Linked DNA regions of Lonchura striata. The protein of the gene in region 2 interacts with the protein of the main gene of each other region in a pairwise test. Links are inferred from orthologs where the notes say so. Each region holds a gene or a part of one and is shown on either strand. Other genes may lie near its edges. The genes, in order: CYTH1, IPCEF1, CYTH3 and CYTH2.

Region 1 (7,533 bases), on a different chromosome or scaffold from region 2:
TGGCCTTGCAGCCAGCTTTTCTGTTCTCCAGGGCTGGCAGGGCTTGCTCCAGATCTGAGAAGAGGTGACTTCAGCACAGAGTGGGAGGGAGCTTTGCAGGCCCTGACCCCATACTAATGTCCCATGGGATCAGGAGGCACCAGCCTGGTCTAGATCTTGCTCTGGGTGTCCCTTGTTGTCTTCACCACCAGCATGTGCTGCAGCAGCACCCACTCTTTCCTGGTCTGCTGTGGGACCTGTGAGTGCTTGCAGAGTAGCCTCTGATTCCCATTTCGTGGCCAAGATGGCAGCAGTTGGGTGTTGTGCTTCTGCACCTCAGGGGAGGGAGGAAGAGAGGGGCATCCAGGCTTTTGGATCAGCCTCTTCTCCTGTCCTTCAGCCTGTCCTCATCTGCTCTTTAACTTCCCAATCCTGAAAAGTCTGCCTTCAGTTTCGTGCTCAACTTGCCTGCTCAGCACCCGGCCTCCCTGCTGACCCATGGTTCCACTGCCCACACTTCACACCACCTTCTTTGTAGCAGCAGGGAGACAGGATCTGGCCAGGAGGAACCAGAGGGTTCCTTCAAAAAGAAGCGTCGGAAGAGGAAGCATCGTAGCGCAGACAGGAGCCCTTGTGCTGTGGCTGTGAAGGGCATGGATGAAGTCTCCAGTCCTCCCAAGAAGGAGAGAGTTATTTCTCCAGAGGTCTTCAAGGGCAAAGACTCCAGGCTCCCCAAGAAAGAAAGCACTGACCCTCAGAAGGACTTCACTGATAAAGACACCAGGCCTCCCAAGAAGAAAGTTGCCTCTCCAGGGGACTTTGTGGCTGTCATGGGGAAGGAGGTGGCCAGTGAGGGTCTCAGCCATGACCTGGTCTGTCAGGACATGAAGAGTGGGCCCAAGCAACATGTGCCAGAGCCCAGTACTGGCCTGGGCATGGAGCCAACTTTACCCCTCAAGAGGAAGAAGAAGAAAAAGAAGAATAGAAGCAAAGACAGGCTTTTGAAGAAGACAGAAGAGTGCAGCTCTGGGATGCTGCTTTCGGACAGGTGAGGGACGAGGGGCATGTGAGAGCCTGAGGTCAGGCTCCCTGAGTCAGGGGCTTCTCATCTTTCTGCAGGTAGGATGCACCTCAGCATGCATCCAGCTGAAGCACCTGTTTGCTGTGGGTGGGTTCACTTCTCCCTGGGTGCAGCACGGGTGTCTCTGCCCTATTGCTCTGTTGGAAGCTCAGGCTCTCCTGCTGTGGTCTGGCTGGTGTGAGCTGACCCTGCTGCCTTCCCCAGCTCCAGGACAAGAGAACCAGAGCCCTGTAAGACACATCAGAGTGTGGAGGCTGGAGAGCACAAGCACCGCAAACGCAAGTGGATGGAAAGCCTCAGCAGCCTGGCTGCCGATACTGTTCCCACCGCCACTGCCACTACCCCAGGTGTGACCCTGTGCCCTGTCTGGTGCCTGGCAGTGTCAGGCCAGTGGCTTGTCTGCCCAGGAGCCCCCTTGGAGCACTACTGTACCACCCCCAGTGCTTGCTGGTCCCGCAGCTGCCTGGCAGTGTCTGTGTCCTGCTCCCTGGCCTGGGCTGCCCTGTCCCAGGCCTGCCTGCTGCTCCTGGGGGACAGCCCTGGAGCCTTTGCACATGCCCTGGAAGAGGAGGTGGGAACAGGCCCCTTGACTGACCCCCAGGACAGGCATTTGTGTGCCCAGACACCCTCAGCCATCAGGACCTTGTCTGTCCAAATGGTGTTTCCTGGGATGAGATCTGCTTTGGAGAGGGAGGGACATGGTAGCTGCCCTTGCTCCCCCTGGCTCATCCTCACCGTGCTTATTTCCACAGTGGCAGCACATCCCAGCGACAGCCAGACTGGGGATGAGAGGCTCTCTCTGGCTGCCCTGAGCCCTATGGCCAGCAGTTGGGCTGGCACAGCCCCTGAGGGCCAGGAGTCCAGCGTGGTGGACAAGCTGCTCCAGAATTCCTTGGACAGGGCTTATGGCAAGCAAGGTAATCCAGGGTCATGTGGGTATGTGGGTGGGCAAACAGCATGGAGCCCCCCTGCCCTAAGGCCTGGATGGGGGCAGAGTCCCCTCAGCTCTGCAGGGCCTGAGCTCCCCCCACCCCAGTGCAGGCAGGGGTGCTCCTGGAAGCAGGCAGGTACACCCGGCCACGGGGCTGGTACAGGGTGGGCAGCGAGGGGCTCCAGCCTTGGGCCTGGGGCGGGGCCAGGTGCAGCGTGGCACAGCCTGGTCCTTCTGACTCCACCGCTCTGTAGTCTTGACCTGGCAGGGTGAGATTTCGGCCGTGAGCCAGGATGCAATTCGGGACACAGCACTGGCCCAAAGCAAGACCGTCATCGATGACTGGGACCAGGAATTTGACAAAGGAAAGGTGGGTGCTGGCCTGGGCCAGGTGGGAGGCTAGGGCCTCTGCAGTCTGACCTGAGCACACTCCTCCTCTGCACAGGTAAAGAAAATTAAGAAGATGAAGCAGGAGCGGAGGAGAGACTCAAATCCATTCCAGAAGTTGCAGAACAAGCGCAACTTCTGGTTGATGTCACATCCTGCCAAGATGGCCAGCCTGGGCCACCGGCTCTAAGGTGAGTGACCCGGGGGGCACAGTGAGCCTGGGGGCTGATGAGGTAGCAGCCTGGTGGGGTCTGACAGGGCTCTTTGCCTCACAGGTTGAGATCTGCATCCCCAACTGCTCAGGGAGCAGTCCCAGGTCAAGGACCAAGGGCAGCGCTGTCCTGGGAGCTGTTGGTGGAGCACACTCAGAGGGGAGGGAATACAGCCGCAGCCCTGGCGTTGTGCCTTTTCCTTCGGCGAGCTGCTTTCCAGCTGCAGAGGAGCCTGCCCACTCTGCCTTCCCTCCAACCTGCCTCGGCCGGGCGCCTCATCAGCTTCTCCGTGCCTCTTCCCCTCAGGCCCCAGCCCACCCCTGCGGGGGCTCGTGGCAAGTGCCTCAAGCCCATCCCTGTCACTCCGAGCTGCTGTGCCTCCTCTTCCCAGCGTCACCGACCCTCATCTTCCCCTACTCCCCTCACTCCATGACCCCCCTCCCCTGCACAAGCTGCATGGAAAGCCTCCCCCGGCCCCCTGTCGGCCCGGCCCCGCGCTGGCGCGGGGGCACCGGGGGATCCCTTCGGGGCCGGAGTGCTGCCGCCGTGGCTACGGGCATTGAAGGATGGAATTGAATAAATCCCGGTCTTTGTCACTCGGTCATGATAGGCGGCGATGGCGAGGGGCAAGCAGCGGGGCGGGCTCACCGGGACGGGGTTGGGGGGATCACCGGGGCGGAGTTGGGGGGGGATCACCGGGACGGGGTTGGGGGGGATCACTGGGGTGGGGTTGGGGATTTCACCGGGACGGGGTTGGGGGGGGGATCACCGGGGCGGGGTTGTGGGGGGGATCACCGGGACGGGGTTGGGGGTTTCACCAGGGCGGGCCGGGGGCACCGGGACGGGGTTGGGGGGATCACCGGGGCGGGGTTGGGGGTTTCACCGGGGCGGGGTTGGGGGTTTCACCGGGGCGGGCCGGGGGCACCGGGACGGGGTTGGGGGGATCACCGGGGCGGGGTTGGGGGTTTCACCGGGGCGGGGTTGGGGGTTTCACCGGGGCGGGCCGGGGGCACCGGGACGGGGTTGGGGGGATCACCGGGGCGGGGTTGGGGGTTTCACCGGGGCGGGGTTGGGGGATCACCGGGGCGGGCCGGGGGCACCGGGACGGGGTTGGGGGGATCACCGGGGCGGGGTTGGGGGATCACCGGGGCGGGGTTGGGGGTTTCACCGGGGCGGGGTTGGGGGATCACCGGGGCGGGCCGGGGGCACCGGGACGGGCGGCAGGGGGCGGGGCCGGCGAGGCTCCGCCCCGCCCGGGTCACGTGGTGCCGGCCGTGGCGCGCTCGTCACGCGGGCGGGGCCGGAGCGGCGGCGGCGGGATGGAGGAGGAGGAGGGCGGCGGCTGCGGTCAGTGCGGGCCGGGGGCGGGCGGGGGGCTCTGGGACACCCGCCTGGCCCGGGACGAGGCGCCGGGGCAGTCTGTAGTCCCCGCTGGGCGGTGGCTACTCTCCCGGGCGGGGCGCGTTTGGGCCGGGCCGCTGCCAGGTGCAGGACCGGGGGCGGTGGCTCCGGGACGGGCGGGGATTTGGCGGCGGCGGGACCTGCGTCCGCAAGTGACAGAGCGGCCCTGGCGGCATCGTGCGGGCGGCGGCGGAGGAAGCGCCGGGCGGAACTGGCACCTGGTGCCCGGCGGCAGCGCGGGGGGCGGGCGCGGCGCGGGGCCGCCCTCCCCGGGCCCGCGGAGCGCCGCCACTGCCGCGGGAGCTCCGTGGCCCGCTGCCCGCACGCCTTCCGTCGGCCGCTCGCACTTCGCTCCGGTGCTCCCACGGCACTGCCGAGTCCCGGCCCCGCAGAGCTCAGGGCGGCTTGGCCTCGATGGTGCCTGCTGAATGTCACAGCCCCCGGTTCGGGAGCTCCCGGTGTGTGCCCTGGACCCGCTCCCAGGGCGGGCCGCGGCGGCTCAGGGGGTGCAAGGTCTCCCTTCTCATGCCCGTACATTCTCCTCCCACTTCCTTCTGCCCTCCGTGCCCGCAGAGCGTACCTTCCCTCCCGGTGCTGAGGACCGGGACTGGACAGGGAGACCCTGCCTGTGCCTGATCTCTCCCGGGCAGGTTCCCGTGTGTCGGCAGGTGGTTTTTCTTGAGGAGGGCCTTTGCTGAGGGGAGACTGGAGTCTGGGTGAAATCTCGGGCAATGGCCCCAGTGCTGGAGCCGTGCTGGTGACCATTCTTCCTGGGAGCAGCTGGTGCCAGCAAAATGCTACTGCCGGCAGTGCCGGTTCACGGCCGGTTTCCTGCCCAGCTGTGCGGCCGATTAGGAGCTGCTGTTCCACCCCAGAAGTGACAGTGCTCGGCTGCAAGGACTTCACTGTGTAAGATAAGGAAGGTGCTGGCAGCTGCGGCCTGGCTCGGGTGTTGTCCGATACAACCCATTAGCAGGAGAGCGCTGTGGGGATCGGTTCTGCCAACAGCCTCCCAGTGCTTCCTGGAATCACCTGGAAGACATCCCGGGTCATATCTCAGCATTAGAAATGTCCCGCTCACTCTGTGGCGGAAGCCACAGGGAGTGCACCGCCGCCTCCAGCCCCCACCACTGTTCCTGTGCTGGGGGCAGCACAACCCACAGCTGCCCTGAAGCCCATAAGCATGGTTTAGCCAAGGACATTCTGCCGAGGCTGTAGCATGGTGGGAGCCGACGCGGAGTCTCTTTCTGGTGGCATTGTGCTGACGCCAGTGTCTGCCCCATGGCTCATGGCCCCTCTTCAGCCTCTTTTCAGTCTGCCTCGGCAGAGAGCAAATCCCAAGGTGAGCAGCTGGCAGCACAGATGTGTGCTCTCCCTGCTCCTGCCAGGGCGTGGGGCTGCACTCCCACCCCCTTCCCAGCATCTCCCCGTGGGGACAGCAGCAAAACTGAACCCATCCCAGAGCGGAACTGACCGAGAGCAGTGGTGTGACTCAAATGCCTCTGGACTGTGGGGAAGAGGTATCCTGGCAGAGAACCATCCTGGCTGCTCCTGCCTTGCCAAGCTGCAGCACCGGTGAGAGGATGTGGGGAGCACAGTCCTGTCCTAGCACTGTGTCCTGAGCTGGGCCCTGTCATGGCTCAGGCTGGCCCCAGGGAGATGGGGATTGGGCAGTGCTGGTAATCCCACTGCACCCAAGGGATTACTGCTCACTCTGGCCTAGGGATTAAGGGATTTCTCTAAGTGGGGTTGATGCAGCCTCCAGCAAAGCAGCTTGTGCCTGGGGGGCCTTATTGTCTGGGACAGGATGGGTGTGTGATGGCAGGGTGGGCTGTACAAGGTGTGGGGGATCCCCAGGAGGGTGGGGTGACAGGTCTGCAGAAGGCTGGCTGAGGGGGTCCTTACCCAGGTAGTCACTGCTCTCCTTGCCACCAGCCTGTAAAGTCCTGTTTTGCCAGTGGGTGCTGGCAGCCCTTTGGTACAGGTTTGGCTGTCCCATCCTGGGACCACGGCATATTCCTGGACACCAGGGAACACTCCTGGGGGAGCTGCTGCTGATGCCCCAGTGCTTCCTTTGCACAGTGTGGAGTCAGCCTAGGCAAGTTGCTGGGCCCAGCTTGGGGAGCAACTCTTCCACAGAACTCAGGGATGGACTCCCAGGTCACAAGCAAAGACAGTGCTGGGGTAGCACCAGGCTTAGAGAGCAGAGCCAGGGGCTTGGGTAGAGGCAGTTGCCCAGTTCCTCTCCTGAGGTGTTTGGAGCAGAGAACAGTGAGCCCTGCTGCTGACACTTGCAGTCATGTCAGGGCTGTAGCTATGGTTTGTAAACACCCCACCTTGCCTGGACAGGGTGCAAGGACCCAGCCAGGCATCCAGGTCACTCTTTGTGGGAGATGCCACCTGGCCCTACCCCATCCCAGTCGCAGCACCCACATGCCTGTGTCACACTGGTGTTTCTCCAGTGCCAGTCCAGGCCCAGGCAGGCACCTGTACAGCACGTGCACAGCTCAGCCTCCTCTGTGTCCCCAGCTCCCTTGGCTTGCCCTTTTGCCTTCTGGTGATGTGGTAACTGCTGCTCTGGCCCTTGGGAAAGGGGAAGTGGTGTTGAAAGCAGAAGGTCAGTCACATCAGCAAGTGCCTGGCTGCTCTCACAGTCCTGTCAGCTGCCCTTCTCCACTCTCTCCTCCTCTCTTCAGTCACACTGCTCCTGGGATCAGGAACTGCTCCTGCCTGCCAGGGTGCCCTTCCCCACTGCCTGCCCGGTCTGGGCTTCTGCCTGCCCTACTCAAGTTACTCCTGGCTCAGCGATCCCAGTGGATGCAGGGGCGGGTGAGCGGAGCTGTTGGGCTGCTCCTGCCCTGACAGGCCCTGGGGTTTGTTACTCACGGCCATGCCCTGTGCTCAAGATCGCTCCTGCTTTGAGGAAAGGAGCTGTCAGTCCGGTTTGGGGTTCGCTCAGCGCCTGTGGGGTGGGAGAGTTGCTCATTTCCTCAGCTCCAGAGCTGCCCCCCAGCCTGAGATCCTGGGGCATGACCCCTGATTCCTGCTGCAGGAGCCCCCCACACACCAGGGCCGCGGCAGAGTGGGCAGTACCTCTGGGGCATGAGCGGGGCTTGGTGTCTGCTCGTGCTGGCGCACAGGGCTGGCTGAGCCTGTCGGGCTGGGTCAGGCTGGGGAGCGGGGGCCGTGGTGGCACCCCCACGCTCGCACCGCCGCGCTTCTCTGGGTGCACCTTCCTCATGCGGCGCTCGTTGCTATGCGACCGCCAGCTCCTGATGCTTAATGCTCTAATACGGAGGGATAAAACCACTCTAAAAATACACTGCTGCTGGCCCCCCGCGGGGGCAAAGGAGCTGCCGGGGGGCAGGCAGCCTGGGCAGGGGGGCTGCTGGGAAGTTCTGAAACTCCGTGTCCTCCAAGTGGCTTTAAGCCGCCCGCTGTGGCTCCGGCGGTGGCACGGACTGGTGTGCTGGTGCGGCGGGGATTGGCTGGGGCTGGCGCGTGGGCTCCTGCGGCTGGAGCTCCCCTACCAGAGCCAGCTC
Region 2 (6,967 bases):
CTATCCAATGAAAAACTATATCTAGGCTGATTTCCCTAATAAGTATCATGTACATTTCCAGATGTCCTGCCATAGTACAGTACTCCACAATACTCTGAATACACTGTTATGGTGGAAAAACAATGCAGGTAATTGGAAAAGATCATCAACCCCACAAAAATGGAAAATAATATTTAGTACTCATGCATATATATATATGTAGTGGGGATCATGCACTTTTGAAATATTGAGCAGGCTTCTGTTAAAGTCTGTAGAATATGTGAAAGCCAATGCCTTTGGTTTCTCTTACATAACCATTGCAAAAAAAAAAGTCCTATTTTGGATTGTAATGTGTGAGAGGAAATAAGACATGAAAATGAGCACTAATGGCTTGTAGAGACAGAGTGCAGGGCAATTCTCCAAGCCATGTGTTTCCTCTGGTATTATGGACAATTAAATTAATCAGTGTTTGAATTCTGGATGACTAACAGAGGTGAACACACTACTGAGAGCATTTTACTAATTTTGTGTTAATCAATGAACTGATAACTTTTCCTTCCTCATAAGCAGGGCTTGTTTTACAAGCAACATGCTCCATAGTCTTGGTGCTCGAACAGAAAGGAGAGGGAGTAAAAATCCAAAATTTAACCAAACCAGGAAACAGATGGTAAAGACAAGCTTTTAAGTTGGAGAGGATAAAGAATTTTCTTCTTGCAAAAATGTTTCTTTAGTCCAAATCTTGCATCCTGTTTTATTACACTGCACCAGGCAGTCTTCACAAACTGCTTTATATCTGCAATCACATCCTGAATAGACCAAGTTAAACCTGTCATCAGGCTTTAACTCTTTAACTTAGATCTCAATGAATTCAGCTCAACCCCTTTTTTTTTTTTTTTTTTTTCAAGTTTTACTTTCCTAGGAGCTTTCCTGCCTTCATAATTCAATTTTTGGAATATCTTACACAGGCAGAAAGGCTTTTGTGCTCATACATTCTCAGAAATGCCTTTGCCAGCAGGATTGGTATTTCAGAGGAGTGTGAATGTTGGCTTCTGCTTGAGTTTTCTGCACTGAAATATTCATCCCCTAATTTCCACCATACATCTAGTGCACCATCCTGAAGTGTGGGATAGAAATGGTCGTGGGCAATTGGAAAGAACTGTTGTGTCCTTTGGAGTAATCTTTGTCCTGATGTACAACTGTGACTTCTTTCTTCTCTGTAAAGCCTGAGCTTTGCTTTGCACATACTGTGGTTATGGAGCACATGCTCTTTGTGGCTGTCACATAGGAATGCTTTTGTCTCCTTGCAGGCTGTGAGGTTTTTATAATGGACAAGAACTCTTGATGAAGCCACTGACTTAACTCAGCATATTCTGTGATTCACTTAAGATGTCTAAAGAGCACTCCAAAAAACTCAGTTTGGAGAATGAAAAAAGAGGGGTCAGGCTAAGTTAAATGTGTGGGTCTGTGTTGTGTCGAATGCTGCTTCAGCTGAGTGACAGTAACTCTGCAAAGAAAGCACCCGACACAACTGCAGCATGCACATTTATTTCTACCACTACTTTTGTATGATGCTAGAATATGAAACAAGGGCAGTCTTTCAAAGCAGTTATGTGTAGTTCCACACACCACACTTGAGCTGCAATATATATTGACAAAAGCAGTCAAGAGCTGCTGTCAGTGTGTAATTTCACCAAATTCTGCTGCCTGTGCTTCAGCTGCATCAGTTTAAAATAGCAACCTCTCTTTATCCTGTTGCCTGCACAATGCGAGTCCCTAACCATCAGTTTTGTCTGTCTTTGTGATAGTAATTGCTGGTAAGGTTGTGTTATTCCCAGGGGGCCTTGTGCAGTGGTCCAAAAGTGTAGTTTGGGTTATTCTGGACTTTGTCCAAAAGTGGAAAGTCAAATTTAAAAACAATGTTACTGCTCTAACATCACTTAAGAGTTGGGATTTTTTTTTAAATACATACTAGATTTGAAACAGGCAAGAGTTGTCTATTGCACATACTTTGCCAGTGGAAGAAAAAATGAGGATTGCATACTCAGTGGAGGAAAAAACCCCAGACCTTTGGGTGTCCTCCAGTTCCTGCCAGTGGGAGAAATGTGTTTGTTTTAGTATGACATAGAATAGATGTAAACATTTCTTTTTAAACCTCCCTGTGTGGTCATCTCAGTTATTCAGGATGATGTAAGCCACTGACTTTCTCCCTTAAGTGGTTATGGAGTTATCCAGTTTGGTTTTTTAGGAGAGGGTAAAGATATGTTAGACAATTACATGATTGATTAACAGAGTATGGAGACAGAGTAATTAAGCATAAAATAAGTGCCAGAGAGTTCTGAGCTACAGGGAAAATCCTTAGGGTCAATTTATGATTGTGGTTTCTGTTTGTTCTCTGGTGAGGGTGAATGTTCCCTATGCCAGACAGCAACCAAGGAATCAGAGGACAGGAAGTCCAGTTTACTGTATCTTCAGCTGAGAGGGGTAGTTGCTTGGGCTTCTTTGGTTTTTTGGTTGATTGTTTCTGAGAGTCCACACCCTCCTTGGTAAGTGTAGCCCTTTTAGAGTGCAAGTGAGCCAGAGCAGGAATTGTTGAAATGTACCTGTGGAGCAAACCTGACAAGATTCTGATGGATCACTGGGCTGTGCTGACTGATGGTGCTCCGCCACCACGTGTTTAGATGTGCTCTGGGAGTGCCTTTGCAGGTGAGGAGCCTTGTGACCTTTGCTTAGAGGCTTTTTTGTTTGGGCAATATTTACTGAGAGACAATATGTTACAGTCTAAAAATATATTCAATGTTTTGACCATGTATTTAATGTTATTTTTTTTCCCCAAGTAACTGCATGCTTCTCAGTGCTACTTATTAATGTGTTTTCCTCTTTCATCCCCCATTAGCTGTTTTCATTACCAATGTTCCTAATGAAATCCTCCCATATTTCCAGTGAAAATGTTCATAATGCCAAGTAGTCATAAATGAGCCATAAAATTTTAATCTGTAAACTGTAAAAGAGCTCCAACCAAACAAAACTTCATTAGCAAAACATAAGAAAAAACATTTTCTGCCTTGTGAATAACAAGTTCATGAATAATAACTAAACTGAGGATTTTCATGTAGGTATAAGATCAGCCAAACTTTAGTGGCTGCATTTTGGGTGATTTGTTTGATTTTATTACATGACAGTAGAAAATGAAGGCTGTAGTACACTTATTGTAGATTCTTGAAGTGCAGCTGTGGTGTTTGAATGTATTTCCACAGAATGTGATCAAAGGCTTTCTTAGGTGTAACACAGTTTTAGCTAAAACTCTCACACGTCACTGAATGTCCCATTGAACATGCAGAAGTCTTAATATTGTCTGGCATATTTCTTGACCACTGGTTTCTGGGGGACAGTTGGTATAAATTCCTGTAATTGAGTAGGATGAGAGCGAAATAAATGATGTCCTAAATTAATTATTTCCCTTTTACTATGTCTTTGCTCTCTGACCTTTTCCTCCCTATATTAAGGCTAAGGGACTTTTCAAAAATTTATTTCACAAACAAACAGCTGTAAAGTCTTTAATATTTATAGCATAATCAGTTTGTTTTGATGTCCAAGATAGTTTTCACTAGAGCCTTCCAGCAAAAAATAGTACTGTCCACAAAACATTTCCAAGTTCTTGATTCGTATAAGAATTCCTCTCTGCTTAGTAAGCTATTGGCTTAGACTCTGCTTTGAACTTACTTAGACCACCCCAAGCAGTCCTTGGTCCAGAAACATCAGCTTATCACTGGATAGGAAGAAAGGGTCTGTTTTTTTCTCTTTCAGAGTTTTGTAACGCTGGATTCATAGGTTGCACTGGAGATAGGGATGTGGACCTCCTGCCCTTCCTACCCATCAGCTAAAGCAGCAGCCCCTCTCTTCCCCACCCCATGCTCAGGATATGAGTGACAGGCCTCGATTAAAAGGCTAATGGGGCAAAGTACATGATTTGCAAAGTTGGTTTTCCTGTGAAAGTGTGGGAACATTGTGGAGTGACATGGTGTGTCTCACAGTGTTATGAGGGAGCCATAATCTAAAAACAAAAAAGGTTTGGCAGCATAGGAGCTCCTGGTGTGCCACAGGCATGTTTCAGCTAGTGCTCACCGAGAGACCTTTACTAAAGCAAAGGGGACAAGTGAGATGCGGCTGTCTGGGAGAGGCAGTGAGGCAGATACCCTGGGGTGCTCACACTTGGGTGAATCTGGTCACAGGAAATGCATTTGACCTGCTACTGACCGTGGCTGGCTGCTGTGCTTGCAATGCATGTGGTCTGTGTGGGAAATAAGGCTTTAGAAAGATGTGGAAGAGGCTCAGGTTTCGGCATCATGACTCATTTCCCAGTGGCTGACCAAAGCAGGGGAGGTGTCATGATGAGGGAAGCTGTGATGAGAAGTACTCCTGCTATCTTTCTCCCTATCAAGAAATGTCAGGGAATGAAAACAATCACCAGAAGTCTGAAGTACAAAAAACGTGAATCACACATGGATACCAAAGTGCATGACTTCTCCCACAGGTCACTCCTGCAATGGTGGATTTTTCATCTAGTTTGCAATGAAGTATTTGGTGTGTTTTCAAAATACAGAGGATTTTGGACACCCTCTGGTCTCGTGGAGTATTTGCTGTTCATGTAGAGAGACATCTTGGCTGGTGAGGCTGACTCTGGCAGCGTTGTCTCAGGGAAGGAACTGTAAGGCGAGAATTTTATCACCCCGATTAGTTTGATACAAGCTTTTTGTATTGGATGTGGATAACATGCCTATGTTTTAAAATAAAGTGAAAGTCAGTAATAAAATCACAAAAACCATACAAGAGATATTTGTGGGAGAAGAGATGCTGCCAAAACGTTGTTCTCTGGTTGCTTTCCAGTACTGTTGCCTAGTTTGCACCCCTAAGACAAAATTCTGGGTGCTGCCCTAGTGGAAGATGGCACACTACAGGAACCCAAAGGCTTGGTTCCATTGTTGAAAGCACAGACCAAGCAACATTTCTGTTGTTTTTCTCTAGGTCTTCAGTGATCTCCGGTGATGAGTGGTCTCTTCAGTCTGTTGCTGTTTTCTCCCTTTGCTCAAGGTGCCCTTGCTGAGCACCTCAGGCAGTTTTGGCATTGTCACACTTGGGTGCCTGCAGAAGGCAGTGTTGTGTTCAACATGCTTGTGCTGCTTTTGTACTTGAGCATAAATAAGAAATTCTCCCAGTAATTAAACAGGTTTTGTTGGGCAAGATGTTCTGTCCTCAGCACTAGGTCTGAGCACTAGGTTCCTTCTACTTTTTGTGTCAAATCTTATTGGTTGATGAGAGCCGTTTCTGATTTATGATTGAAAGGGTGAAATGAAAACAGGGTCTTGTTGATGAAGATGCAAGTGAACATTTGAACAATTAATAAAGGCCAAAAAAACTAGACAAGTAAAACCAGGCACTAATTCTTTATCTGAGCAGTGCTAAACAAAAACTACACAAAGTAAATGTGTATGTGTTTTACATTTGTGTGGGGTTTCATATCTGAGTCTACTGTCTGGAAACTTCTAATATTATTCTCCTACAAATTTCTGGACAATGAGCTGCAGGTAACTGTGGGGTGCTTATGATCAAGCAGCTGCTCTATTATTGTGCTGCTGTGCTTTGGGAGAGCAGACTGCTTGCTACGCCTGGGTTTTCTGTTCCTTCCCAGCCCTCCCACTCTCAAACCAATGCACATCATATCAGGTGGTTTTCAAAACTGTAAGCTCGTCACTAGATCCTCTTTTCACTGTCCTACTCAGTTCAACTTTTGAGAACAATAGAAAATGTATTTTTAAAGGCTGAAGATGCTGCAATACCATAAACACAGATAGATGTAATTATTGACTGGTTTGAGAACTGGAGCCATTGTAAGGTAACATATACTGCTGTGTTTAAGATGAAAAGTTTTTCTTCAAGTAGAAATTGTGTTATGCTCTTGGACTATTAAATACACTCTTGATTCAGAAATGCACAAAGCACCATTTGTGCCACTTAAAGTTCACATGGAAAAGCTGAATCATCCAAGCCATCTGAATGATGCACACTATTTGGTAGTTGTTTTCTTCAGCAGGCAGCTGGTGATCTCTCTTCCTGTATTCAGGGCTTGGGTGGGGGAGGAAAAAAGGAAGACAGAAAGGAGTCTCCTGGGTGGGGGAGAACCTATTGCTTCATGTGTACAAACTTTATGGTTTTCCTGAGATCTCTCTAAATTTCTGGTAAGTTAAAACTACATTAAGAGGATTGAAGAGGCAATATATATTGCAATTAAGTTATAAAGTGTTTTTATTTTAAAGTAATAATGCTTTATGAACATTTTAGGCATGATTTGTTTATTATAAGTTATATTTCAAGCAGTTCTTCATGGGAGAAGACATAGGATATGTGCTAGGGTTGGGGGTCCTTCAGACTTGGTAGCTTCTGTGTCTCCTGCTCCCCATTTGAAATAAGGAGGTGAACTGTGAGATTTGTTGCCTCAGTCACCAGCCAAAAAATGGTAACTCATTTTCTTTTGTGCTGTTCATGTTGTAAACTTAACACCTAATTTACATGTTTGCCTACTGAAGCTCACTGGTAATGAAGGGCTGTTTAGTGCTGAAAAAACTCTCAGGTCAGGAGTGGGACAGACATATGACCGGGTGGAACAGTTTTTTGCAGAAAAGCCCACGCATATTCCCTGCTGCTACATCTGTAGTTTTCTACATTTAGGATGTATCTATTTTTCTTTGGCTATTTTATTTATATTAATGTTAGTGAAGAAGCTTTTTTCTGCTTTTTTAATGATCTATACCTTTATTGCAGTCTGTCTTACCTAGTTAGATAGTAAGATTTTTTTATCAAGCCTTGTCTTCTAGTTTTAACTTCCTGAGTGTAATGGGTCAGGGATTTAATTATTCTGCATTGTACTTATTAGTACAGTTGAAAGGGTCTAAAGAGCAGCAGAATAGAAAAAGCAGTGCAGAAAGGCTTTGCT
Region 3 (7,664 bases), on a different chromosome or scaffold from region 2:
CTAAGCTTTAGCTTTGATGTTCCCGAAAGCAATATAAAATACCTTCATGTAAAATTTTTTTGGCCTAAATGAAAGGTACAAGCATTTTTAAAACCTTTGAGACAACCAGCAAACAGGATTTTCTACAAAAATGTTTTTCCACCTGAGAAAAATAGGATGAGTGTGACAACATAAACATTTTAAGAAACAATACATGGCTGAAACCCATTTGCCAGGCAGAGGAAGTCAAAGACTTTGCCTGAGGGGTTTAAGAATACCAGATTATTCAAGTACTGATAAATTTGGAAAAAAAAAACCCAAAAAAAAAAACAACTTGGGGAAGAAAAAGGACAAACTGATGGTCTAAGATTTTCCTGCATTGAAACTATTAAGCAATGCTTCTTAAAAAATAAAAACTGTTTGACTGTCTAGATTTGAAACAAAATCAATGGCTGGGTATCAATGACAGTGATTCTATCAACAATATGATGTTTTAGAAAATGTAATGCTTGCACTATTTTCCTAAAAATGGGAGACAACTATGTGAGCAAGTTGCAAAATCAACCAATCAATTCTAGATTATAAAACACTGCACAACATTTGTATTGTTTAAGATGTGTCTCTATTTTTGGTATAGATCTATATGCTCTAAGAATGTATTTATTAAGACTGCATAGATGTTCATGTCTCCAAGATGAGCTTTTTCCTTCACGGTAACTGTCCATCTCACCCAATCTAACAGAAATCACACAAAGCCAGACTTGCAAATTAGTGATGTCTTGCCTACACAAGAAACAGGAATACCTGCATGGAGGTGAGTCTTCCTTCCAACAGTAAGGAGCATTATTCCATCTCCCTGCGGCTGATACTGACATGCAGTCTGATGGCCCAACAGTCACTTCTTTCTGCACTGAGAAAATTCGGAATTTTATTTATTATACTTGAATACAATGCTACTATGAACATCCTCATAGCTCATGTTCTTGATTATAAATAAAAACTTTATGAAATCTATAATAGTAAAAATTTTATTTTCATTCACTGCTCTTGGAATCTGGTTCAAACTGAAACCCACAGGAATGGCTTAATATTCAATGAGCTTTATAGACCACAAAAATGTGATGTAATAGTTTCAGTTGTCTTCACTGACTCACTGACACTGACATTTGTATAGGGACAAATGCCATAACAGATGTGCTCCTCAACCCTTAAAATGAAAAATGACATGATAAATTACTTCTTAGTGGAAACTGAAACAGAACAGTTACTGAACTACCCAAAGAGGGACAAAAAAAAAAAAAAAAAAAAAAAAAAAAAAAAGGCAAAGCATATTACCTGAAAATTCAGCTAGTAACCACATTTATCATTGAGGAATCAATGCTGCCAACAGGAGGTTTTGGAGAAAGCCCAATTTTCCACTAAAAATAATATAAACAGACCTGCTATTAGACTATTATTTACATGAATGACAGACTACATAGTGCTTCCAACACAGAAGGTTAGACTTGTGGATATGAAACTGGCAAAAGATACTGGTGGTAAAAATAGACCTAAGACTACAGAAGACACTGAAAAAAAAAAAAAATTCAAGCAATCCCGAGAAAACTATTGATTGGAAGTCTCAATAATATGAAGAAAAAATTTAAAATTCATACGTACTTCAAAACAGAAGAATGATCAAAATTAGATGCGACAAAATTATTCACACAAGCAGGAAATAATTGATTGGAGTTTGTCTTGGAATTTGCTGTGATTGTAACCTGTATTGTTCCTGGCATCTTTGTTGGTAAGGAACTACCCCATATTTAATGACAGCAATGCTGTTACTGTTCAATTGCCAAAAACCAGGAAGGAGTTCTGCTATGGTAGAACTGCTCTAGCTACAATGTAGAACTGTGAGTGTAATTCTTTACTTGATTTTACACATTTTCCAAAAATCTACTCCTGACCTAGTTAGGTTTACAGCCAGACATGAGCTTTACTTTATACACAGGAAAATGAGGCAACAGAGTGAAATGTTTGATCTTAAAAGTTTCTGTGACACCTCTCACCTACAGATTGAACAGCTTTGTCCACTAAAGCACCTTGTACACAGAATTAACAGTTTTGTGTTTAGAACACTTGTAAGATTGGGCCCATACAAAAGTAAGTGTATTTGTGATACACACAGTATGAATGAAAATGTTTTAAGGAATATCTGTCATCCTTTCAAAGACACACAGCCTTGGAGAGAACACTATAATTTTAGTACTCTTTTGTACTATGTATCATTAATAAGTCATTCTACTAAAGCAGGACTGGAAAGAACAGATTCTTCTTGAGAAGGTATTAAATGACATCTAATCTAGAGTTCCAACATAGTAAGCTATATATTCAACAAAACACTGAAAATTTCTCTGTTCAAGTTTATCATGAGTATAATAAAGAGAGTTTTCCATACCTCATGAGTTTGGAATTGGATTTCACCAAGAAGTTTCTATAAAATATTGCAACTGGTCACTTGTAATTAGGACAGACATTTTTCATATCTTTCTTGCATAACAAAATAATTTTTCACTTTGATATTAATTTGGAGAGTTTTAAAACTAGTTTTGCTTCCATGAAGTCAACAGGAATTTTGCACTGAATGGGTGGAAGGAGGACTGTTCTCCACACTTCACTCTCCCCTGCTATTAGAATTAGTGATTAGGCTTTTTTATTTTGGACTAGAATTTTCCTTGAAACCAAGTGAGGGATGGATGGATGGATGGATGGATGGATGGATGGCAAAAAAACAGAAACAAGAACATAAAAACATATACTTTATATAAAGGTGTAAAACAGCATAAATTAAATGAAAGCAAACAATCTGTGATTGATTATAAAATTAGAATTTTTCTCATGAACCAGATTCCCCACTAATGTAAATGAACAGTTTGCTCAGTGTGCAAAAATATTCAGAGCCCACTGTCAGTTCATCTGCATTAAGACTTATTTTAAACCATCCTTTAATGGCACTTTATTGACATAATTTCAAAATCAATCTCTTACCAAGGTGACACTTCTGTTTTATGTAATCATATCCTTTTTATAACTAACTTACTAAACTTGTAACAACATTTAATTTCAAATATGAAAGACAAAGAGGAGTATTTTAAAGGTTTATGATTTTTAGATGAGGTAAAGCACTTTATCACCAGAGCAGCTGTCAGAGCCAAACCTCAGCTCTCAGCAAAATGGGCTGTAATAACCACCTATTAGCAGCAGTGTCAAGAGGTGACTGCTCCTGACACAGCATCCTAGACGGTGCTCTGTCCCATGCCAGCCTACAAAAGGAAAATGAAAAACCTGATATTTTCCTGTTGGCTGACCTTTTCCTCCCACAGCTTCCTTTCTGAATAAAATTTTGACATGAACGTTTTTTAAAAAATAATAAGGGGCGGTGCCAAGGAAGGAAAGAAGGAAGGAAGGAAGGAAGAGTGATGTGCGCCAGTACACTTCAGCTTACCTTTATGACTTTGGAAGCTGCTGATATCCCGACTCCCATGGTAGGTAACTCACTGAAGATCTTTACTGAAGACTAAAGAAATCCCACAGATGCTCTGGCTCCTAGGGCAGTAAGCAGGAGAATAATTTCTGTTACCCACACAGACAACGCTCACCAACGCAAGCCCCTGCACTGCCCATGGGGCACAGTCCCATTTCTGCACCAGGCTCTCCATGACCACTGTGGCAAGGGGAGCACCCAGCACCGGACACAAAAACAAAGAGCAAGCAAGAACCAGCAAAAAACATGCAGAAACATCAGATGTCTCGGGCTCTTTTCCAAAAACTTCAACCCACCTCGTCCCCCTTCATTACGGTGCTTCAGGCCATCTCAGCCCTCACCTTCCAGTCTCCTCCCGCTTCCGTTTATAATGCCCAAAGGAGTCTTTAGACCTCCAAAAAATAGTCAGGGGCTCTGCAGACATTTTCTGGCTCATGAAGACCCCAAAACACGACCCCAGCCAGCATGAGCCCAAGTGACTCGGCCCAGGCTCCTGTCGCTCCCGACCGCCCCAGTGACCCCGGCAGCCCCCGGGCAAGTCGCTTTCGAGGCCTCGGCGCTGCGGGGCCGCGCCGTGCGGGCTGTGCCGGGAGGAAACAGCGCAAAGGGCAGGCGGGAGGCTCCGCTCCCAGCGGGGCTCGGCCGCGGCGCTGAGGGAGCGGGCAGCGCGGCGCTGAGGGGAGCGGGCGGCGCGGCGCTGAGGGATCGGGCGGCGCGGCGCTGAGGGGAGCGGGCGGCGCGGCGCTGAGGGGAGCGGGCGGCGCGGCGCTGAGGGGAGCGGGCGGCGCGGCGCTGAGGGAGCGGGCGGCGCGGCGCTGAGGGATCGGGCAGCGCGGCGCTGAGGGGAGCGGGCGGCGCGGCGCTGAGGGAGCGGGCGGCGCGGCGCTGAGGGGAGCGGGCGGCGCGGCGCTGAGGGGAGCGGGCGGCGCGGCGCTGAGGGATCGGGCGGCGCGGCGCTGAGGGGAGCGGGCGGCGCGGCGCTGAGGGGAGCGGGCGGCGCGGCGCTGAGGGGAGCGGGCGGCGCGGCGCTGAGGGAGCGGGCGGCGCGGCGCTGAGGGGAGCGGGCGGCGCGGCGCTGGCCGCGACCCCGCGGCGGCGGAGGGGCCGGGCGGGGCCGCCTCCCCTCCGCGGGTCACATGAGAGGGGCGGGCGGCTGGGCCGAGGCGGTGGCGGCCGCCGGGGCTGAGGCTGGGCTGGGAGGGACGGGGCTGCGGAGCGCAGCGGCGGAGGTAGTAGCAGCGGAGGAGGAAGAAGAAGAGAAGAAGGAGAAAGAGAAGGAGCAGGAGCGGCCGCGAGGCGCCGAGCCGGTGGAACGAGCCCCGGGCCTCCCTGAGCCGCGGCCGCCGCGGAGCGCCCTGCCCGCGGTCCCAACATGGACGAAGAGGGTGGCGGAGGTGGCGGCGGTGAGTGCGGGGCTCGTGCGGGGGGGAGCGCGGCCCCTCAGCCCGCGCTGCGGGCGGCAGGACGGCCGGAGCCCCTGCGAGCTGCCGCGGCCCCTGCCGCCGGTGCTGCCCCGTCCTGCCCGGCGCCCCCGAGCCGAGCCGAGCCGCCGTGCCGGCGCTACCGAGCAGTGCCCGGGCGGGCCACAATGGGGGCTCTGTCCCGCGCCCGGGCAGGGTCTGGCGGGGGCGCGGCGGTCCGGGCGCTCCCGGGGGCGGCGGGGCAGGCAGGCAGGGCAGGCGTGTCCTGGCCCCGCCGCCGTGACAGCCCCGTGCTCGCTGCTGCAGCTGCTCCTCCGCTGCCAGAGGGGAAGGGGCAAAATGTGAAAAAGTACGCGTCTGGCAGTGTAGGAGAGGAGAAAAGAGTAATTGAGCTCTGTTTGTGTGTGTCATCTTAATGGAGGCTCGGTGATAATCACGGGGTGGTTCAGCCAGTTTAAACAAGGTGAACTGTTTCCAAAGGCAGCGGCGTTAACCTTGCTGGATACTACTTTTAGAAAATCCAGACTCGCATGTTGGGGAAGCTTTTATTTGTATTATTTTATCTTTTGGAGACAGGCTTGTGCGCTGCCCCAGTTTAAGGCACTGCAGACGTGCCACACGCTTCCCTCCTTTAATTTATAATGTGTTTTGTGAGTGCGTGTGTAAAGCTGCTGCCTGAAATAACCAGTTCTTGTGTATCATCAGCGATAATGGTGGCTGAGCAGGAGCTGATCCTGCCCTGGGGCAGAGGGACCGACTGCATGGCCTGCCCTGTATTCAGTGTGTCTGTGCCGTGGTGGTGCAGAACGGAGCGACGAGGGTATATCTTAAACCAAATGCTAAACAGGCGGCCTTTGAATGCGTTGGCTGATCTCTAAATAGGTAAACTAAGGGCTAAGCATTGTATGATTAATAGTTGCGTGCTACTTGTTAATTCTAAATATAATTACCCAGAACTCGGAAATCAAGAGGGTGTGGTGTTTGTTTTGACAACTTGAAAAAATAATACTATGATGAATCAGAAAAATAATTCTTCAAGCAGTGGGTTGGAAATGTGGCCATTTCTCAGCAGGCATTTCTGCTTGTTTTGACAGTGATAGACTTAACTCTTAAAACAAAACTGAAAAAGGAAAGCAAAAGACAAAGCGAGTCAGTCTTGAAAAGTTATTATTCAAAGCAGTTGAACACTGTAATTGCAAAGAGCAGAAAGCTCATTTAACTCAAAATATGTTATTTTCACAGTATTATGGACTTGCATCTGTAGTTGAGGGAAATGAACATGCTTGTTATTTGCACTTACCGTGTGTAATATAGTACTTAATCATGTGCGAAATGTAAACTAGAAAGTGGACATATTGCTGAATTAATCTTCCATAAGATGTTAAGCATTTCAAAGTTGGATTTGCATAGGGCGACAGATAGTCAGGACCTGGGGACGACACCGTCTGTGTTTAGCTGAATGCTGATTCTATATGTGAAGCCTGATTTATACCTCTAGCATGCAAGAGAAGCTGATATCACTTTAATAAACATATTGCTTTTTGGGGGTAAACTACAGTACAGTGTATTGTTGTAAAACAATCACAGACAAGTAAGACTGGAATTTTGTTTTGTAATTGGTGTATATGACATTTTACTCTGACTTCTTGTAAGTATTGCACTTTATTCTTGAATAGAGACCCAGTCTTGCTTTTTCTTAGGGATTGCTGTCATTTTGGAACACCAGGATTAGTTAGGTAATTTCTAGCTAATGAATTGGCAAGTTGTTATTTTGTTTGGGTTTCCCCCCCTTTTTTTTCTTTGATGACAGGATACGTATGGATTTGACAGCCTGTTTTAAAAGTCTTTATTGCTGTTGAGTAATGAGACTTGTGATATCTGAGCAATGAGACTCCCTTTGGAGCCTGACCAGGGCAGCCCAGTGTTTTGAACTTCTGCAGGACATTCTTAATCCTCATAAACTTGATATTATTGAATGGGAAGCTCTTACAGCTTATCACTCTGCACAGGTACTTTAGGAAGTATGCAAAATTATTTAAGGGCTGCACAGAGTCACCCTAATTAGAGACTTGAACTAGATAAGCATGTAAATATCTAGGACATTAAAGTGTGATTCAGAAGGTAAGCTGCTATTCCCAGTTCAGCTCTGCCTGCTGCGCTGCTCTTCAGTTTGATTTGCATCCTATGCTTCAGTTCTCTTATTTGTCAAATGGGGTCAGTTGTTTTACCACCTCTGTTAAAAACTGTGAATGAAAACAGAACTGTGTAAAGTTAGAATTTATTATTTTAGAATCACTCGGTGGAAGAGAAGTGCTAATTAAAGGAATTGTTCTCAGTACCTCATTTTCTTTTGTATGTGGAGCCCTAAACAGGGCCGTGCATTTATATTATACAATCCACTTCCACACAAGCCTCCCATTGACTTCAGCAGAGGCTCTGTGCATGGATTATTGATGTGATATGATCCGAGTCAGTTGGTGTTTGGCTCAACTTTCTTTTGTGTCCTGATTAAAATATCTCTGTGGTTTGCTTAGTGCAGGAAATTTCTCCTCCTCCCTCTCCCCACTTGGTTTAAAACTACATCTTGTGTGATTTGAGAGGCTTTTCTCACAGGCTCACAGTCAGGTGGTGGCAGTGCCAGTGGCCAGGACCCTCGCGTTCAATAGTGCTCTTGGTGTGGTCACACAGTGAGCGAGTGATCCTCTGTGAAAGGTCAAAATGTATAAACAAGTCAGTGC
Region 4 (7,744 bases), on a different chromosome or scaffold from region 2:
TCTCCCCTTTTTTACCTCTTTAATTAATTCCCCCCCCCATTAACGAATCATTTAACCCCTTCGCTGCCAGGCCTGTCCAACATCGTCGCCGCCATCCTTTCCATCATTCCCCTTTTTTAATCATTTCCTTTACATTTTTCCCCATTTTTTTCCCATTTTTTTTTTAATTTCTCCCCATTTTTACCTCTTTAATTAATTTCCCCCCCATTAACGAATCATTTAACCCCTTCGCTGCCAGGCCTGTCCAACATCGCCGCCACCATCCTTTCCATCATTCCCATTTTTTAATCATTTCCTTTACATTTTTCCCATTTTTTTTTTAATTTCTCCCCTTTTTTAGCTCTTTAATTAATTCCCCCCCCCATTAACGAGCCATTTAACCCCTTCGCTGCCAGGCCTGTCCAACATCGTCGGCGTCATCGTTTACATCTCGGCCAACTCGGGCGAGGGCTCGGCGGGGGGGGTGGGCGCGGGCGGGGTCCCCTCCCCCCGGTACGGGGGGTGGGGGGAGGGGCGGGGGGCGGGGGCGGGGGAGGGGCGGGCGGGGGGGGAGGGGAGCGCCGCCCCTCCCCCTACAGCTACGGCTGGAGCTTCTACTTCGGCGGCGTCTCGTTCATCCTGGCCGAGGCCATCGGCGTCCTGGCCGTCAACCTGTACATCGAGCGGCACCGCGCCGCCCCTCCCCCCCCGCCCCGCGCCCCTCCCCCCCCGCCCCCTCCCCCCCGCGCCGCCCGGCCCCGCCCCCCCCCCGCGCGCCGCCGCTCGCGCTCGGGCTCGCGCTCCAGCGCCAAGTCGCGCGACCCCTCCCCCCCTCCCCCTCCCCCACCCCCTCCCCCGCCGCCCCTCCCCCACCCCTCCCAGCAAAGCCGCGGGAAAGCCGCGAGCCCCCCCCCGCCGCCCCTCCCCCCCCCCGCCGAGATCTCCCTCTTCACCCTCGGCCGGGGGGGGAGGGGCCGCCGCACGCCCCGCCCCTCCCCCAGCCCGCCCCGCCCCCCCCCGGCACCCCCGGCGCCCCTCCCCCACCCGGCCCCGGCGCCTTCCTGGCGCTGGCGGGGGGGGGAGGGGCGGAGACGGCGGGGGGGGGCGGGAGCGGGACCCTCAACCGGAGAACCACGCCGGTCTAGGGGGCCCCAAACCGGCCGGAATTCACCCCAAAACCGGCCCCAAACCGGCCGGAATTCACCCCAAAATCGGCCCCAAACCGGCCCCAAATTATCCCGAAATTATCCCAAAATTATCCCGAATTCACCCCAAAATCGGTCCCAAATCGGCCCAAAATTGGCCCCAAATCAGCCTAAAATTATCCCGAAATTATCCCAAAATCAGCCCGAAATTATCCCGAAATCACCCCAAAATCGGTCCCAAATCGGCCCCAAACCGGCCCCAAATTATCCCGAAATTATCCCAAATTCACCCCAAAATCGGCCCCAAACCGGCCCCAAATCGGCCCCAAATTATCCCAAAATCAGCCCGAAATTATCCCGAAATCACCCCAAAATCGGTCCCAAATCGGCCCCAAATCGGCCCCAAATTATCCCGAATTCACCCCAAAATCAGCCCAAAATTATCCCGAATTCACCCCGAAATCGGCCCCAAATCGGCCCCATCCCGAAATTATCCCAAATTCACCCCGAAATTGGCCCGAAATTATCCCAAAATTATCCTGCTTTCATCCCAAAATTTTCCCAAATACACCCCAAAATCGGCCCCAAATTCAGCCCGAAATCAGCACAAATTCACCCCAAAATCAGCCCAAAATCAGCCCAAAATTATCCCAAAATTATCCCCAATTCACCCCAAAATTCATCCAAAATCGGCCCGAAATTATCCCAAAATTATCCCAAAATCAGCGCGAAATTATCCCAAAATTATCCCAAATTCACCACAAAATTCATCCAAAATCACCCAAAATTCACCCAAAATCACCCCAAAAATCCCCCAAAATTCACTTTTCAGATTTACCCAAAATTCACCCCAAATTCACGGGGATCCCCCAAAATCCCCCTCAGGACCCCAAAATCCGGGTGCCAAAAATCGTCAATTTTTTGGAGCCCCAAAATCGTCATTTTTTGGATGGAATTGCCCAAATTTCCCCTCCCTGGGGGATCCCAAAATTCCCTTTTTTCCCCTTCTTTCCCCGTTTTTCCCTTTTTTTCCCATTCCCCCATTTTTTGACTTTTTTTTTTTTTTTTTGCTTTTTTTGATCATTTTTTGGGTTTTTCTGTTATTTTTTGACTTTTTTGTCCTTTTCTTGTCCTTTTTTTCCCCACTTTTTTTGAACAATTTTTGGCCTTTTTTCCCCCTTTTTTCCCCCTTTTTTCTCGTTTTTCCCTTTTTTCCCCTTTTTCCCCATTTTTTGCCCCATTTTGCCCCTCCCCCCCACCCCCGGGGGGTCCCAGTGCCTTAAAGGGGGGGGCTGGGACCCCCGGGGTGCCCCCACCAGTTTGGACCAGTACGGACCAGTACGGACCAGTACGGACCAGTTTGGACCAGTTTGGACCAGTTTGACCCAATTTCCCTAGACCAGTCTGGACCAGTTTGGCCCAGTAACCCCCAATTTCCCCGGACCAGTTTGGCCCAGTTTGTCCCAGTTTGGACCAGTTTGGCCCAACTTCCCCAGGCCAGTTTGGCCCAGTGTCCCCCAGTTCCCTGGACCAGTTTGGACCAGTTTGGACCTGTTTGGCCCAATTTCCCTGGCCCAGTTTGTCCCCGTTTGGCCCATTAACTCCCAGTTCCCTGGACCAGTTTGGCGCAGTAATTCCCTGAACCAGTTTGGACCAGTCCAGACCAGTTCCCTGCCTTATACGGGACCAGTTTCCCCCATTTTCCCTGGACCAGTTTGGCCCAGTAACTCCCAGTTCCCTGGCCCAGTTTGGCCCAGTTTGTCCCAAATTCCCTGGCCCAGTTTGTCCCAGTTTCCCTGGCCCAGTTTGTCCCCGTTTGTCCCAATTTCTCTGGCCCAGTTTGTCCCAGTTTCCCTGGCCCAGTTTGTCCCAGTTTGGCCCTGTTTGTCCCAATTTCTCTGGCCCAGTTTGTCCCAGTTTGGCCCAGTTTGTCCCAGTTTCCCTGGCCCAGTTTGGCCCAGTTTGGCCCAGTTTGTCCCAGTTTCCTTGGCCCAGTTTGGCCCAGTTTGGCCCAGCGTGCCTCAGTTTCCCCTTCCCCATGACCCCGGGCGGGTGGGGGGGGCTGGGATCATCGGGAGCCCCCCCGGCCACGCCCCCTTGGCCAAGCCCCGCCCCTTTCTGCCCCACCCAATCAAACCCCGCCCCTTTCTGCCCCACCCAATCAAATCCCGCCCCTTTCTGCCCCACCCAATCAACCGCCGCCCAACCAAGCCCCGCCCCTTTCTGCCCCGCCCAATCAAACTCCGCCCCTTTCTGCCCCGCCCAATCAAACCCCGCCCCTTTCTGCCCCGCCCAATCAAACTCCGCCCCTTTCTGCTCAGGCCACGCCCCCACAGCACCCTGGATGAGGCCACGCCCCCTTTCTTTAAGCCCCGCCCCCCGCGCAGGCCCCGCCCCCCGCATGCAAATTTTTACGGGAATTTCGCTCTTTCCAATAAAAAAACGCGCGTGAAAACGGCGGAATTTGGGGAATTCCGGGAATTTTGGGGGATTTTGGGACGTTTTGGGGAATTCGGGCAGAATTTGGGGGAAATTTGGGGAATTCTGTGGGAATTTGGGGGGAATTTCGGAAATTTCAGTGACGTTTTGGGGAATTCTGTGGGAATTTGGGGGAAATTTGGGGAATTTTGGGGACATTTTGGGGAATTCTGTGGGAATTTCGGGGAAATTTGGGGAATTTTGGGGAGTTTGAGGCCATTTTAGGGAAACTCAGGGAATTTTGGGGACATTTTGTGGAATTCTGTGGGAATTTGGAGGAAGTTTGGGGATTTTTTTTTTTGGAATTGGGGAAATTTGGGGAATTTGGGGCCACTTGATGGGAATTCAGGGGAATTGTGGGATCATTTTGTGGGAGTTTGGGGAATTTTGGGCCATTTTGGGGAATTTTTTTTGAAATTTGGGGAATTGGGGGCCATTTTATAGGAATTTGGGGGAATTTGGGGGAATTTTGGCGCCATTTTGGGATCACTTTGTGAGAATTTGGGGAATTTGGGGTAATTTTGTGGCCATTTGGGGAATTTGAGGGCTTTGGGGCCATTTTGGGGTAATTTTGTGGCGATTTGGAACCATCTTGGGGTAATTTCGTGAGAATTTTGGGAATTCGGGGTCATTTTAGGGGAAATTGGGGGATTTGGGAACAGTGTGGGGTCGCTTTTTGGAAATTTGAGGTCATTTTGTGGCAATTTGGGGCCATTTTGTGGCAATTTGGGGCCATTTGGGGCCGGGAAAGGCCCTCAGGGCACACAATTAATATTCATGAGCTTCATTAACATCAACAAGCGCGGCTCAACACGCAAGTCCCGCCTCCTTCCCCAATCCCCCTCGCTATTGGCCGGCTCCGCTGTCAATCACAGTCACCCCCCGCCGCCCCGCCTCGCTGTCTCCCGATTGGCCGAGCGCTCTGTCAATCCCCCGCCGCGCGCGCTCCCCGCGCGGCGCTCGGTCCCGCCGTCCCCCCGCTCCCATTGGCCGCGCGGCCCGTCGCTCAGGGCGGGCGCGGCGCTGATTGGCGGAGCGGCCGCGGGGCGGGCGCGGCGCTGATTGGCGGAGCGGCCGCGGGCCCGGCGGGGCGGAGCGGCGGCGGCGGCGGGGCCGGCCCGGGGCCGCCATGGAGGACGGCGTGTACGGTGAGGGCGGCGGGGCGGCCATGGCGGCAATGGCGGCCATGGCGGCAATGGCGGCGGGGAAGGAGCGGAGCGGGAACTGGCCCTGGGGGGGGGGGGGGGGGGGGGTTCGTGAGGCGCGGGCCAATGGCGCGGCGAGGGGCGGTCACGTGGCGGGCGCGGCGGGAAAGCGGGGCGTGGGTCACGTGGGTGGGCGGGGCCAATCAGTGGGGGCGAGGCCATTCATCTGGTGGCCACGCCCCTTTTGAATGGGCCACGCCCCCTGTGGGCCACACCTCTTTATGAATAGGCCACGCCCCTTTCGCTAAACCACGCCCTAACTGCATATGCAAATTAGACCACGCCCTCTGCACGTACCAATATGTATTAGTGATGGCCACGCCCCTTTGGGCCAGACCACGCCCTCTTCTTTACGCTGAAGGCTTAATTGAGGGGGCGGGGCTTGACTGGGAAGGGGCGTGGCCAAGGAAATGAGGGGCAGGTGTGAAATGGGCGTGGCCTTGAAGATGTGGGCGTGGCCAGGGAGGTGCCCAGGTGTGCCCAGGTGTGATGTGGGCGTGGTCATGAAGCTGTGAGTGTGCCCAGGTGTGCCAGGGCTGTGCCCAGGTGTGCCCAGGTGCGCCAGGGATGCACTCAGGTGAGCTCAGGTGTGCAGGGCAGTACCAAGGTGTACCCAGGGTGGTGCCCAGGTGTGCCCAACTGTGCCCAGGTGTGCCCAGCTGTGCCCAGGTGTGCCCAGGTGTGTCAGGTGTGCCCAGGTGTGCTCAGGTGTGCCCAGGGTGATGCTCAGGTGTACCCAGGGTGGTACCCAGGTGTGCCCAGGTGTGTCCAGCTGTGCCCAGGTGTGCCCAGGTGTGCCCAGGTGTGCCCAGGTGTGCTCAGGTGTGCCAGGTGTGCTCAGGTGTACCCAGGAGTGCTCAGGTGTATCCAGGGTGGTGCCCAGGTGTACCCAGGGTGGTGCCCAGGTGTGCCCAGGTGTACCCAGGAGTGCTCAGGTGTATCCAGGGTGGTGCCCAGGTGTACCCAGGGTGGTGCTCAGGTGTGCCCAGGTGTGCCCAGGTGTGTCAGGTGTGCTTAGGTGTACCCAGGGTGGTGCCCAGGTGTGCCCAGGTGTGCCCAGGTGTGCCCAGGGTGGTGCCCAGATGTGCCCAGGTGTGCCCAGGTGTGCCCAGGTGTGCCCAGGTGTACCCAGGGTGGTGCCCAGGTGTGCCCAGGTGTGCCCAGGTGTGCTCAGGTGTGCCCAGCTGTGCCCAGGTGTGCCCAGGTGTACCCAGGGTGGTGCCCAGGTGTGCCCAGGTGTGCTCAGGTGTGCCCAGGTGTGCTCAGGTGTGCCCAGGGTGATGCTCAGGTGTACCCAGGGTGGTACCCAGGTGTGCCCAGGTGTGCTCAGGTGTGCCCAGGTGTGCTCAGCTGTGTCCAGGTGTGCCCAGGGTGGTACCCAGCTGTGCCCAGGTGTGCCCAGCTGTGCCAGGTGTGCCAGCCGTGCCCGCCGTGCCCGCAGTGCCCCCGGACCTGTCCCCCGAGGAGCGGCGGGAGCTGGAGTCCATCCGGCGCCGGAAGCAGGAGCTGCTGGGGGGTGGCTGTGGGTGTGCCCAGGTGTGCCCAGGTGTGTCAGGTGTGCCCAGGTGTGCCAGCCGTGCCCGCCGTGCCCGCAGTGCCCCCGGACCTGTCCCCCGAGGAGCGGCGGGAGCTGGAGTCCATCCGGCGCCGGAAGCAGGAGCTGCTGGGGGAGATCCGGCGCCTGCGGGACGAGCTCAGCGAGGCCATCAGCGAGGTCGAGGGGCTGGAGGCCAGCGAGGGCAGGTGGGGGCGCCCTGGCATGCTCCCGAAACAGCCCCAAAATATCCCTGAAATGTCCCCAAAATGTTCCCGAAACAGCCCCAAAATGTTCCCAAAATATCCCTGAAATAGCCCCAAAATGTTCCCAAAATGTTCCCGAAACAGCCCCAAAATGTTCCCAAAATGTTCCCAAAATGTTCCCAAAATGTTCCCGAAATATCCCCAAAATGTTCCCAAAATGTTCCCAAAACAGCCCCAAAATGTTCCCAAAATATCCCCAAAATGTTCCCGAAACAGCCCCAAAATGTTCCTGAAATATTCCCCAAATATTCCCAAAATATCCCTGAAATAGCCCCAAAATATCCCTGAAATAGCCCCAAAATATCCCCAAAATGTTCCCAAAATATCCCCAAAATATCCCCAAAATATCCCCAAAATGTTCCCAAAATATCCCCAAAATATCCCCAAAATGTTCCCAAAATATCCCCAAAATATCCCGGAAATAGTCACAAAAATAGCCCAAAGTATCCCCAAAATATTCCCAAAATATTGCCAAAAATAGCCCAAGATATCCCCAAAATATCCTCAAAAATATCCCTAAATAACCCCAAAATGTTCCCAAAATATCCCCAAAATATCCCCAAAATATCCCCAAAATAGCCCAGAGTATCCCCAAAATTTCCCCAAAAATATCCCAAAATAGCCCCAAAATATTCCCAAAATGTAAAAAAAAAATTCCCAAAATACTCCAAAAAATTGCCCAAAGTATTCCTAAAATACTCCCAAAATATTCCCAAAAATATCCCAAAAATGGCCCAAACAATTCCCAAAATATCCCCAAAAAATCCCCAAAATTACTCCCTAAATATTCCCCAAAACAGCCCAAAATGTTCCCAAAAAATTCCTGAAACATCCCGAAAATAGCCCCAGAAATATTCCCAAAAATAGTCCAAATTATCCCCAAAATATTCCTAAAATAGCCCCAAAATAGTCCCAAAAAAATCTCCAAAATTTCCCCTCAAATTCCCCAAAATTTTCCCCAAATTCCCAAAAATTCCCATTTTTTAACCCAAAAGTCCCAAAAATATTCCCGAAAATTCCCAGTTTTGACCCCAAAATTCCCCAAATTTTGTCCCAAATTCCCCAAAAACTCCCAAAATATTCCCCAGGATTCCCAAAAATTCCCCCCAAAATCCCCATTTTTAACCCCCAAAATCC

Evidence for each region.
Region 1: the proteins of IPCEF1 (region 2) and CYTH1 interact in binary tests that used the Homo sapiens proteins (3 or more experiments, as listed by UniProt). The link is inferred for Lonchura striata from reciprocal best matches to the Homo sapiens genes IPCEF1 and CYTH1.
Region 3: the proteins of IPCEF1 (region 2) and CYTH3 interact in binary tests that used the Homo sapiens proteins (3 or more experiments, as listed by UniProt). The link is inferred for Lonchura striata from reciprocal best matches to the Homo sapiens genes IPCEF1 and CYTH3.
Region 4: the proteins of IPCEF1 (region 2) and CYTH2 interact in binary tests that used the Homo sapiens proteins (3 or more experiments, as listed by UniProt). The link is inferred for Lonchura striata from reciprocal best matches to the Homo sapiens genes IPCEF1 and CYTH2.

The regions. Positions count from the first base shown.
Region 1 is NC_134621.1:11,768,629-11,776,161, forward strand, and holds the start of CYTH1 (cytohesin-1), read left to right. Parts: upstream 1-4,520; 5' UTR 4,521-7,533. Other genes in the region: USP36 (ubiquitin carboxyl-terminal hydrolase 36), read left to right, coding at 518-1,027, 1,265-1,407, 1,813-1,977, 2,246-2,361, 2,437-2,568. UniProt on the Homo sapiens protein: Promotes guanine-nucleotide exchange on ARF1, ARF5 and ARF6. Promotes the activation of ARF factors through replacement of GDP with GTP.
Region 2 is NC_134605.1:55,582,939-55,589,905, forward strand, and holds the start of IPCEF1 (interactor protein for cytohesin exchange factors 1), read left to right. Parts: upstream 1-3,959; 5' UTR 3,960-6,212; intron 6,213-6,967. UniProt on the Homo sapiens protein: Enhances the promotion of guanine-nucleotide exchange by PSCD2 on ARF6 in a concentration-dependent manner.
Region 3 is NC_134618.1:10,893,734-10,901,397, forward strand, and holds the start of CYTH3 (cytohesin-3), read left to right. Parts: upstream 1-4,655; 5' UTR 4,656-4,877; coding exon 4,878-4,908; intron 4,909-5,136; exon of another isoform or gene 5,137-5,808; intron 5,809-7,664. UniProt on the Homo sapiens protein: Promotes guanine-nucleotide exchange on ARF1 and ARF6. Promotes the activation of ARF factors through replacement of GDP with GTP. Plays a role in the epithelial polarization.
Region 4 is NC_134640.1:2,541,244-2,548,987, reverse strand, and holds the start of CYTH2 (cytohesin-2), read left to right. Parts: upstream 1-4,731; coding exon 4,732-4,750; intron 4,751-6,402; coding exon 6,403-6,550; intron 6,551-7,744. UniProt on the Homo sapiens protein: Acts as a guanine-nucleotide exchange factor (GEF). Promotes guanine-nucleotide exchange on ARF1, ARF3 and ARF6. Activates ARF factors through replacement of GDP with GTP.